Linked DNA regions of Callithrix jacchus. The protein of the gene in region 2 purifies or fractionates together with the protein of the main gene of each other region. This does not show direct contact. Links are inferred from orthologs where the notes say so. Each region holds a gene or a part of one and is shown on either strand. Other genes may lie near its edges. The genes, in order: FAM83H, CSNK1D and SNX24.

The links.
Region 1: the proteins of CSNK1D (region 2) and FAM83H purify together in Homo sapiens (co-immunoprecipitation; 5 studies listed by BioGRID and IntAct, counting the BioPlex papers as one, with this or other methods). This does not show direct contact. The link is inferred for Callithrix jacchus from reciprocal best matches to the Homo sapiens genes CSNK1D and FAM83H.
Region 3: the proteins of CSNK1D (region 2) and SNX24 purify together in Homo sapiens (affinity purification with mass spectrometry; 3 studies listed by BioGRID and IntAct, counting the BioPlex papers as one, with this or other methods). This does not show direct contact. The link is inferred for Callithrix jacchus from reciprocal best matches to the Homo sapiens genes CSNK1D and SNX24.

What each region holds. Positions count from the first base shown.
Region 1 is NC_133517.1:53,882,323-53,886,069, forward strand, and holds the start of FAM83H (protein FAM83H), read left to right. Parts: upstream 1-958; 5' UTR 959-1,051; intron 1,052-3,348; 5' UTR 3,349-3,410; intron 3,411-3,604; exon of another isoform or gene 3,605-3,739; intron 3,740-3,747. UniProt on the Homo sapiens protein: May play a major role in the structural organization and calcification of developing enamel. May play a role in keratin cytoskeleton disassembly by recruiting CSNK1A1 to keratin filaments. Thereby, it may regulate epithelial cell migration.
Region 2 is NC_133506.1:137,905,576-137,909,322, reverse strand, and holds the start of CSNK1D (casein kinase I), read left to right. Parts: upstream 1-886; 5' UTR 887-936; coding exon 937-1,012; intron 1,013-1,704; exon of another isoform or gene 1,705-1,841; intron 1,842-3,747. UniProt on the Homo sapiens protein: Essential serine/threonine-protein kinase that regulates diverse cellular growth and survival processes including Wnt signaling, DNA repair and circadian rhythms. It can phosphorylate a large number of proteins.
Region 3 is NC_133503.1:86,337,508-86,341,154, reverse strand, and holds part of SNX24 (sorting nexin-24), read left to right. Parts: intron 1-1,568; coding exon 1,569-1,663; intron 1,664-3,394; coding exon 3,395-3,427; intron 3,428-3,647. UniProt on the Homo sapiens protein: May be involved in several stages of intracellular trafficking.

The DNA.
Region 1 (3,747 bases), on a different chromosome or scaffold from region 2:
AGTCAGTGTGAATATGGCATCCCCTGTTTGCCTGATCCCCTGGGTCAGTGTCTGAGGGATCCCAATTGCAGGTGGGGTTCTCCACGTGCGCAGACGTCAGCGTGTTCCTGGGTGACTGGTGTGCAAGACTGAGTGTGCTTGTGGGTTCTGCCTTCCTGAGGATTCTTCTGTGCTTGTGCGGTTGGTGTACATGAGGAACGGGTCATTCCAGGCCCGCGTGTGCATGGGGGGTCGGTGTACATGAAGGATGAGGGACAGGTCATTTGGGGTTCGTCTGTGCAGGGGGTCAGTGTGTGCAGTGTCCCCTACACGGGTGGGCGTCGGTGTACGGGGATGAGGAAGAACAATAGGGCACCCCAGGTGCTGTGGGCATCAGTGTGTGTGGGGGAGCCGGGGCCTGGGGGTCCTCTGTGTGGGTGGGGTCGTCCCCTCTACGTCTGGGCGCCAGTGCGGAAGGAGACCGGTGTGTGGTGAAGGGATCCCCTGCGCTCTCGGGGCTCCCAGACCCGGCCCCACCCGGCGCTCGGCGCCGCCGCAGCGTACTCACCTGCCTTACCTGCCTCCCCAACTTGGCCAGGAGGCCAGAGCTCCGCCCCTGGCGTCGGGCTGGCTCGTTTCCTAGCTACCGAGCCGGAACTTCCGCGTCACCCCGACTTCCGGGGCGAGGGTCAGGGGTCAGCCTAGGACTTTGAGCCTGGGGTCAACAGCTGGGCTCCCCGGGGCCGGGGTCTTTGAAGTGAGGGCCTCACGGCCTCCGGCGGCGCTGGGCCGGGGTCCCCGCAGGGTGCGGGCGGGTCGGGGCGGACGGTCGGGGCGCGGGCCGGGGCGCAGGAATGCGGGCGCGCCGCGGGTGGGGCCGCCCCGCCCCCAGGTGCTGCCCGGGCAGGCAGGAGGCAGGAGCGCCGGGCGGGGCGGGGGCGGGCGCGTGAATCAGGCCGGGCCGGCGGGCGGGCCGCGCAGGGAGTGGCTGCCGGACCGACCGGACCGCGAGGCCGCTGGGCGGCGGTCGGCTCCTGCTGCCCCTGTGCCGAGACCCCGCGCACCTGGCCAGGTAGGGCCCCCTCCCCCGGCCCGGAGGGGCGGGGCGAGGTGGGGGCGGGCGCCCCTCGGTGCGGTCCCACCTGGGCCGCCCTCGCGCCAGCACCTGGGCCGGGGCCGCGCGATCCAGAGAGGGGCGTTGGAGCTGGGGCGCGGCCGCGTGCGCGGGGCGGCGGGGGGCGGCTCGGACAGGGGGCGCCGCTGCGCGGATTTGGACGCGAGCGCCCTCGCACGACGCCGGCCCGCGAAGAGCCGATAGGAAGGGGCCCGGGGCCGGGTCCAGCCTGCCCGGCCGCCTGGTCCCGCCCTCGCGGCCTAGTTGGAGTCTGGGTGCTGGGCACGGGCTGGACCCGTCCCTGGGGACGGCCGCCGTGGAGTGGGGTAGCCAGAGTGCGGCCTGGATCCCCGCGTGGAGAGCAGGACGAGCGACGGGAGTGCTGCCTCTCGTGCCCACGTTCCTGGGGTGGGGTGGGCGGATGGGGCCCCCAGCCGCCGCAGTTGCGAACGCGTAGGGTGCGCTGACCACGTTGGGCGCTGGGGTGCCCACCCCGCAAACTATCACTGAGCGACTTCCGGTCTGTGAGCTCCGTCCTCCCCACCCCACCTTTCCGCCTCCTAGAGCCTCCACGCCCTCCTGTGCCCGTTGGAACGGCACAGGCTCACCCCACTTGGTGTAGGAACTCTGGATCCTTCCATGGGGTCCTCCTTCCAGATACCCCACTTACGGCCAGGGTGGAGAGGATGGGGTCCTTAAAGTCCAGCTGAGAGCCCTGACCTCAAGTCACAGATCGGGGTCAGCAGAAGAGTGGATTCGTGCTGAGTCATTGGCCATGGGTGGGTTCCGTGCCCTCCCTCCCTTGGGCAGGCGTTGCTACACAAATGTGTAGGCATGCAGGCCACTGGAGTGCTCCATCTCAGGCTCGGGAGTGGCTGCGGCCCCGTCCATAGCTGGGGAGACACGGACCCATGAAAGGGGACAACACGGGGAATGAAGTCGTTGGAGGAAGCCATTGGCATCACTCTGTGTGGACGCTGGTGTCTGCTGGAGGGCTTTTGGCCACAGGGGCTTCCACAGTCCTGACAGTCCCTGCCCACATTACACACAGCCTGGACACTGTTGACTCCCCTACCCTGTGAAATCCAAAGGGACAGTGGGGGTCCTTTCTAGAGTGCTGCCCCCCCAGCAGCAGGAAGTGCCCCTCAAGATCAGCAGGGCTGTTCCCTCAAGCCCTGTGTGATCAGACACTGCCTCTACAGCCAGGCTGGCAGTGGTGAGTGGGCGCCCCCACCCAGCCAGACAGGCCTGCCCCTCACCCCCATGTGGTCGGCCTTGATCTGCTCCTGGCACAATCAAGACAGTGTGCCCTAACCAGCCCCACATGTCAACCATGAGGACAGTGCCTCAACAAAGAAATGTTGGGACAGCTTCTCCCAGGCCGGTTGGCATCTGGGGCTGGATAACTGAGTGGCACCAGGTATTTCCCACGTGTCAACTCCATGTCACCCCCAGGTGCGCCAGGCAGGACGGCTGCCGCCTGACCTTAACATTCTCAGCCAAGTGGCTCCTGCTAGCACCCATGCAGTCCAGCTGGCCAGCGCCCATCCTGTCAACGCCCCAGGGCACGCTCCTCTGTCTGGGCTGAACTGCCTCCCCAGCCAGGGCCAACATTCAGGAACCTGTGTGCTAGGTGGGGATAGGTGTGCTGCCTCCCTCAGCAACCTGAGGAGCACTGGGATGGGCTGAGTGCTCCCTAGGGCTCTCCTTCCAGGGAGAGGTACCCAGGTAGCTCCATGACCATGTGCACATGGGCCCTGGGCACCCTATAGAGGTCCCCATCAGACACCTTTCTGGAGAGGCCAGGCCCCCTGCAGGGACCCTTTGGAGAACAGGGTGGGCTGTGGGGCAGGCAAGCGTGGATGGTGGTGGGGAGCCCAAGACCTGGAAAGGTCCCTGCTGCTTTGGACTGGGGTTGGTGGGGACAGGACTCTGAGCAAGTAAAGAGCGAGATCTGGGGGCTGTGGAGTGCAGGCCCTGAAGGACCTGTGGGCACCAATGGGCTGTGGCCCAGGGAGGTTTCATCTAAGAGGGACAGTGACAAGAGAGAGGTCAAGGGTGGGCCAAGGGAAGGAGAGGGGCTGGTAGACAGGGACAGGGTCTAGGGGTCAGTTCCAGGGCTGGGTGGTCAGAGGATGGGCTGTGGGAACCCAACTGTGAAACTGAGGATGGGGAGGAGGTGTGGCTGAGGTCCACTAACGAGGACCTCCGCGTTCCTGGAGGAGGGTGGTCACAGCCCTGTTTGCTCATCTTAGGTGAAGCATGGCGTCATGTGGACCCTCAGCTGTGTTGTGCAGAAGATGTACAGGCCAGAGAGGTGCAGTGACTTACTCGGGGTCTCCCAGGCAGTCAGAGAGACACAGGCAGCATGGGCAGACCAACTTGTTCAGTAGGCACAGTGCCAGGGGCTCATGAACATCTTAAGAAAAAAAGCGAATATTGTAATGATGAACGTAGCCCAGATTACGTTTGTCTTTAAACCAAGAATCATGAAAGTTTTAGAGGGTTTGGTTTTATTTTTTGTAGCGATGCAGTCTCACTGTGGCCCAGGCAGAGTGCATTGGCACAATCATAGCTCACGGCAGCCTGCAACGCCTGGACTCAAACGACCCTTCTGCCTCAGCTTCCAAGTGGCCGAGACTACAGGCACGTGC
Region 2 (3,747 bases):
CCCCAATCTTTGAAGCTGACCGTCAGCCTGAACGTGCACATCCTTGTTTTCTTTTGCAAGGAGGAATATTCAGATCCAACACAGATAAGAATGTTGACTCGGTCTCCAGGCCGCAGGGACTGGTGGGAGGCAGGTGGTCTGTCCTCATTTTGTGAAAGGTGGTAGCCTCGTCCTCATCCTTCAGGCTGGACATCAGGACCTCCCAGGGTGCGGGCCTCTCTGTCTCTGGCCTCAGGTGTCAGGAGGCAAAGCCGCTGACGTCCTGAGATGCCCCACGCCCGGGAACTGGCAGCCAAGTGAGAAGGTCTCACTTGTGTCCTCCGGGCCGGGCCTCAGCTACCTGTTCCCTCCTGCAAAGGGCACCGCCTGTCTCCAGGAACTCACCTGGCTCTCCCGAAATCTCGGGGGACACACGAAAAGCCCCAGTGAGAGCGGTAGGAGCCTGCACGTGGAAGGGGCTGGCGGCCTGAGGTCCTGGGATAATGGGCGGGCAGAGGGACTGGGGCCCTGCGAGACGGTGCAGGGTCCGAGGAGGCTGGGAGCGCTCGCCCCACCCGCCCCCGCCCCTCGAGCACTGCGGCCCCACCCGCCAGGGGGTTGCCAAGGGAAGTGACGTCACAGCGCGATGGCGGCGGCTCCTTCAGGCTGCTGAAAGGGGATTTAGGCCCCGAAGATCCGAGTCCATCCGCGGCGGGGAGAGGGCAAGCGGCGCCGGCAGGGGCCGGAGCAGCGGCGGCGGCGCTTGGACTGTCCCATCCGCCCCGTATTGAGGCGCTGGGAGCGACGGGGCAACGGGAAAGCGATGGTGAAAGCGGGGCCGTGAGGGGGGCGGAGCCGGCAGCCGGAGCCGCAGTAGCGGCAGCAGTGGCGCCGCCTCCCGGAGCTCAGACCCAGGAAGCGGCCGGGAGGGCAGGATCGAACCGGGCCGCCGCCGCCATGGAGCTGAGAGTCGGGAACAGGTACCGGCTGGGTCGGAAGATTGGCAGCGGCTCCTTCGGAGACATCTATCTTGGTGAGGCCCCGCCGTCCCCACCCGCCGTTTGAGGACCCGGGCCCCGCGGCTACCGAGACCAAGTGCGACCGCGGAAGGAAGTGGCGGCCCCCGCGGGGTCCGCGCGCAAGCCCTGCCGCCGCCGGGTCGTCGCTAGAACCCAACGGCCACTAGACAAGCGCGGCCGGGGTTGGGGAGGACAGTGGGGCGTGGACCTGGGGGAGGGGCAGGGTCGGGGGGTGGGGGAGCGGGGTCTGGAGAGGGGAGGGGTGGGAAAGAGGGGACAGGGGAGCCGACCCGGGGCGGGGCACGGTCTCGGGGGTGCGGAGTCGGGAAGGGGCAGGGTCGTCGGGGAGCGGACCCGCGAAGGGCTGGGTGGGGCGTGGGGAGGCGGGCCCAGGGGAGGGGCAGGGCGTGATGGGGGCCGCGGCCCGTGGGAGGGGAGGGGGAGGGGGCGGGGCAGGGCCGGGGCCGCGGGCGAGTGTCGGCTTGCTCCGCGCCTGAGGTCTCCGAGATAAACAAAGGCCATGCTCTTTCTTTCGCAGCCCTGTCCGAGGATGTTTGGCTCCCCAGTCAGAGGCTGCCCATGCGTCTTGCACGCGTGGGGGATAATGTCAGAAAGACCCGAATGCCGTGTGGAGCTGGGGGAGTGGCCTGGCTAGGAGCGGGGCTTGCCCTCCACCTCGCGGCCGCCGTCATGACTGACCGCTGGGGGTTCTCTCTGCACTGCGACCCTAGGCCTTGGAGCGGTGACTGAGTGCAAATGAAAGTCCCACAGGGTTAAGATGCTGGCAAAATGAGAGGCCCATGAAGTAGTAGTACTCATGAGCTGTCCTTTAACATTCTCAAGGTAGATTTCAAAAAAAAAAAAAAAATGGGATTAGAACATTCTGGGTTGTCATATTTACAACAGAAGAATATGCATGTGGGCACAAGTGTATTGAAAGATTGGCTGACATCTTCAAGTTTGTAAAAAAAATTTATTTTGAGATGGAATTTTGCTCTTGTTGCCCAGGTATAATGGCATGATCTCAGTTCACTGCAACCTCCACCTCCAGGGTTCAAGCGATTCTCCTGCCTCAGCCTCCCGAGTAGCTGGGACTACAGGCGCGTGCCACCACGCCTGGCTAATTTTCTATTTTTAGTAGAGACAGGGTTTCTGTATGTTAGTTAGGCTGGTCTCAAACTCCCGACCTCAGGTGATTCCCCGCCTCCCACCCCTTGGCCTCCCAAAGTGCTGGGATTACAGGCATGAGCCACCACGCCCAGCCCAAGTTTGTACATAATTTTAAAGTAACTTAATTTTCCGTACTTGTCAGTGGGATTGTGCAATACAGGAGTTATTCCAAGACCCCCTGAACTTGAGGATGTGTAGCCTCGTGGGCAGTGTGCCTGCAGAAGGCCTGATGCAGACCTTTGAGGGGACCTATTCTCTGTTCCAGCAGCCCCATCTCTGGGGTGTGTTTGGCTGGGGCACAGCCAGGGTCCGGAATCCTATGGGATGTCAGTAATGCCTCTGGTCGCACTTTTTAGATTAATCCGCATGTGAACAGTCCCTACATCTCATACCCTTCTCACTTTTCACCTGAGAGATGACTCAGGACCCAGTGGGCTGACAGCATTAGGCTGAACCCATACATTTGGGTGGGTCATACTTTGGGTGCCTGGTTAACCTACCAGTTAACCCTGTCACATGCCATATTGTTGCTTTTGAACCTGTATATATGCCTTAGCAGCCTGTGAGTAAAACACGCTTTAGATGTTTGGGTTGACTAAACATTTATACCCAGGTGGTCAGCTGGATATGTTCTTGGCAGTGTTTTGGAAGTCAGAGTGCTTGGTAAATGGAAGGCATTTGGCTTATTTATAGATTGATAGATTTTGGCAAAAGTTTTAACTCCACAGTCTGAGTTACACTGCAAAGCCAGTCCATTAACCACTCTTAGGCAGGCATCAAAAAGAAGTATTTTAGGCTGGGCGCAGTGGCTCATACCTGTAATCCCAGCACTTTGGGAGGCCAAGGTTGGCGGATCACTTGGGGTCAGTAGTTTAATACCAGCCTGGCTAACATGGCAAAACTCCTTCTCTACTAAAAATACAAAAATTAGCCGGGTATGGTGGCCGTCACCTGTGATCCCAGCTACTCAGGAGGCTAAGGCATCCTGAGAGGTACAGATTGCAGTGAGTCAAGGTCACACCACTGCACTCCTCTGAGACCTTGTCAGAACAACTTTGTGCTTTCCAAAGATAGATTCAGACAAATTCTGGTGTGGTTGTTACCAAGTCGTTCACAAAGGTGGAAGGTGGCAGGCTGTCTGCTCACTCATGGTTGCACCCTCAGGCCTCACCTCATGCTGGGCATGCAGTCACGCTGGAAACCATTAGGGTAGGGATTTCCGGTGACTGTGGCTCTGGCGCCCTGGGGTTGGAGCCTTCAGACAACCATCCATCAGGGTACATGTCCAGTTACTTGAGTGGGGTTGGGCACAGCTGATTTGTTTTTTTTCCATCAGCATTGGCTCCTGGCCTACATTTCAGTCCTTTCAGACGACCCCCCTGAGGAAATGAAAAGTGAAGTGGTCATGTAACCCGGAGTAAGGCAGGCTGGAGGAAGTGTGGGTCTGCGCAGAGCAGCAGTTAGAGTCAAGATGGCTGATCTGAAGACCGTGAAATCATCTCCACCATAGTTGGTTTGGGCAACCTGTTAGACACGAATCGAGGGACTGGACCTGTGTGTGTTGTGTGTATTCTCATAT
Region 3 (3,647 bases), on a different chromosome or scaffold from region 2:
GAAATAGTAATGAAATTATGTCTCTGGACAGAAGGCCTTTTTCTCTTTATCTTCTGAACTTTTCATTTTTCTCTGGACTTGTAAGCTTTATTGTCATGTCCCAGTGTGTAATATATAGATGCCCAGTAAATTATTATTTAATTAATAAAATATAACACCCAATTTTTTTCTTCTGTCTTTTATTCCTTAAGCTTTCATGGGAACAGTGAGCTGTGTAAAGAACAGTAGCAGCCCCCAGTAGAGGTGGCTGTCTAGATCATCCCTCTCCAGGGACTGAACACTAAGAGGGCTGTGCTCTAGTGTGGGACAGAGGGCAACCTAGGAGGCCTGGCAGCCTGTATAGTCACCCACCCCATTTGTATGACCTGAACTGGGTAACGGTATTACATAACCTGATGAGAAATTGGGGCAACTCAGTATGTAAACCATGGCCAAAAACAAGATGTGATCTAGAACTATGTATCTACAAGGTACATATAATTTCACCTCACTTTTGTTGCTTGTTATGTGTCTTATGCATCACCTTACACAGTATTCCTGATTAGCTGTGTGAATGATGTTTCACCATCAATTCTCACAGTTCTTTAAACAATATATACTTATTGGACAAAATTTACCCATGGTAGTTATGAAAAATGACCCTTAAGAATAGTAGTATTGAACTCAGAGATTATTATACAATCTTTGATGCTTTTCTCCTATGGTCTTTTGGAAAAGTGGGAGGGGGTGGTGGCAAACGTACATTCAGTTCACACACTCTGGTAGACTTAAAAAGTGCATAGCTATGAAGATACATACTTCTTTGTCAGATTTCTCTTGACATTGCATAATCTGGATCTCTGAATACTGACATGGTTATGCCATTATGCCAGCTATGTAGCAAAGCTCACTAAATGGAAGAACTTTATAGATTTTTTTTCGGCGTGTATGCTGATTTACATTTAGCAGTAAAGTTGTTACTGACCCTTTAAGTGGAGCTGTCCAAATGGCAATAAATGTCAGTTGATTCTAATGCCAAAACAGGTGATAATTGAGGGTCTTGACTAAATCTTTCAGTTAAAAAATGATTTATCATATTTCCTAAATATTAGTGGTCTCCTGTAGGGAGACACACACACACACACATACACACACAAACGTGTATACATAATGTATATCAGATCACTTTATCACTCAGTAAGGAAAATTTGATATACATATCTTAATAGTATTATTGATATTCCCAGGTTTTGAAATACTCTAGATTAGAATCTCCATGAAGGCAGGAAGCATTTCTACCTGGCTCCCCACAGTCTTGTCCCCTAGACAGCATCTAGTGTATAGTAGGTGTTGAATAAATGCCCATTGAATGAAAGAACAAATAAACTGCAGCATTTGCCAGCACTGCCTAGCATGTGTGTCAGCTTGAATTTCTGGTGGGCAAAACAGAGACCACTCCTCATCTTGACTCTGAGGAATGTTGCTGGTAAGAACTTTGATGGACGGTTATGACTTTTTGAAATAGTTCATTTGATTGATCGCCTAGCAAACTTCACTTCAGTTTCTAATTCTGTTTTCTGCTTTCACAGGCTGTCATTTTAGAAAATGAAGAACTTCCCAAACTGTTTCTTGATTTCCTAAACGTGCGACACTTGCCCTCTCTACCAAAGGCAGAAAGTTATGGGTAAGAATCATGTTTGCATATTGGATGTGTATTTTAAATTACACTTCAATGACTGATTGGTCTAACAAATAGCCCAGAGTAGTGCCCGAGTAGCCAGCCGGCCACGCCCACTCTTTTGGCTTGCTACAATACTCGCTCGCCCCCTGCTTGTGATCAAAAGAATTCCTCTAAAGTCCTCATGCCCATCTTGTGGCCAGATGGCCATGGTTTAGTAACCCATGTTTAGACTCGGAATCAATCTTTTCAGTTACACTGTTACATAGAATGATGTTACTTGATGGGAATTATGAATCTAGATAACTTGTTATGGACTCATTTATTAGTGAAAACTCAAGCAAAGTCCATATCCTGGTAGTACACATATTCATATATAAATATATTTTTTTAGGGGATGGGGGGATGATGGAGTCTTGCTCTGTTGCCCAGGCTGGAGTGCAATGGCACTGTCTGGGCTCACTGCAACCTCTGCCTCCCGGGTTCAAGCAATTCTCCTGCCTTAGCCTCCTGAGTAGCTGGGATTACAGGTGCACACCACCATTCCCGGCTATTTTTTTTTTTTTTTTTTTTTTGTATTTTTAATAGAGATGGGGTTTCACCATGTTGGTCAGGCTGGTCTCAAACTCCTAACCTCGTGATCTGCCTGCCTCAGCCTCCCAAAGTGCTGGGATTACAGGCGTGAGCCACCGTACCCGGCCCATATTCATATAATTTTAAAGCTGTTAATGACCTCAGAGATGATTTGATCCAACTCCTCTCATTTTGTAGTTAAGCAAACAGAGACACAGGAATTTAGCGTCTTTCCCAAGATCTCTTGTCTTGTAGCTGACAGAACCCAGGCCTTCCAAGGTGAGCCCTCTTCCTCTGCTGTCCAGCTGCCTCTCTCAGGAATTTCCAGTGGCAGGACCACAGACTCTAATCCCTATCTACCAAGGACCCAGAGGTTTGATATCATCAGCAGTTGGGAAAAGCTCTCCTGAAGAATTAACTCTGAAGCAAGTCGCTTGCCCAGCTATAGGCACATGACATAGGCTGAGCTAGCTTCAGAAGGCCTTCAGGAACATCCGTGGCATACTATATCCGTTTACAGAGAAGGAAATCATTACAAACTCTCTGAAAATTCAAGCAAGAGGCAGATTTAACCATTTTCTCACTGTTTCCAGACCTGCCTGAAGGAAACACACTAATTACAAGAAGATCAAGCAGACCACACCCAAAGTCGTTAAACCCCAGCCGTCTGCTGGATGACAGGGCTGCAGACAGTTATCACAGCTCCTAATGGGCACTGTTTATCAGGGCCATTTCCACTTATTGCAGAGCAAAAATTGTACACTACACTTGGCAAATAATATGTTGTCAGTGTGTTCTGTTCCAACTCCTATGTGTTTATAGGGTGGTTAGGCTTCATATATGTTTATGTATTTTTCAGAACAGACATTAGCAATAGCAGTGAGTGAAATGTTTTCTCTATTATACAAGCCCAAAAGTAATAAAACCTGAGAATTTTTAAGTAATCTTCAGGAAAATTGAAATCAAAGAATATTTCAGTCTTCAGATTCCTTAGGACGGTGCATAGCCATGCTGTGGCTCAGTGGAAACTCACAACTCTTTTTAAAAATATTTCCCAATTCAGTGGTCTGATAACATTGGGTATTTTTTCCTTTGTTGGCATTAACATTGACTCAACATATGTGGTTTTTCTTTCTTTTTCCCCCCCTTTCTCAAAACTTTTAGATCTTTTGATGAAACAGAATCTGAAGAGTCAAGGTAAGGGCTATTCTTCATCAGCCAGGAATAAGATTATGATCTTGCTAAATGTTTGATCACCATGATGTGTTTCAAGTTTTGTTTTTCTTAAAAACCTCTGTTTGGAAATTGGTTTAAGATTATAAATATTTGATAGGGAATTACAGGAGTAACCAGTTAGAATTATGAGTGAAGGAATAAGAGCCCTACATTGTTTCATGCAAGTAATAAGAATGTTTTA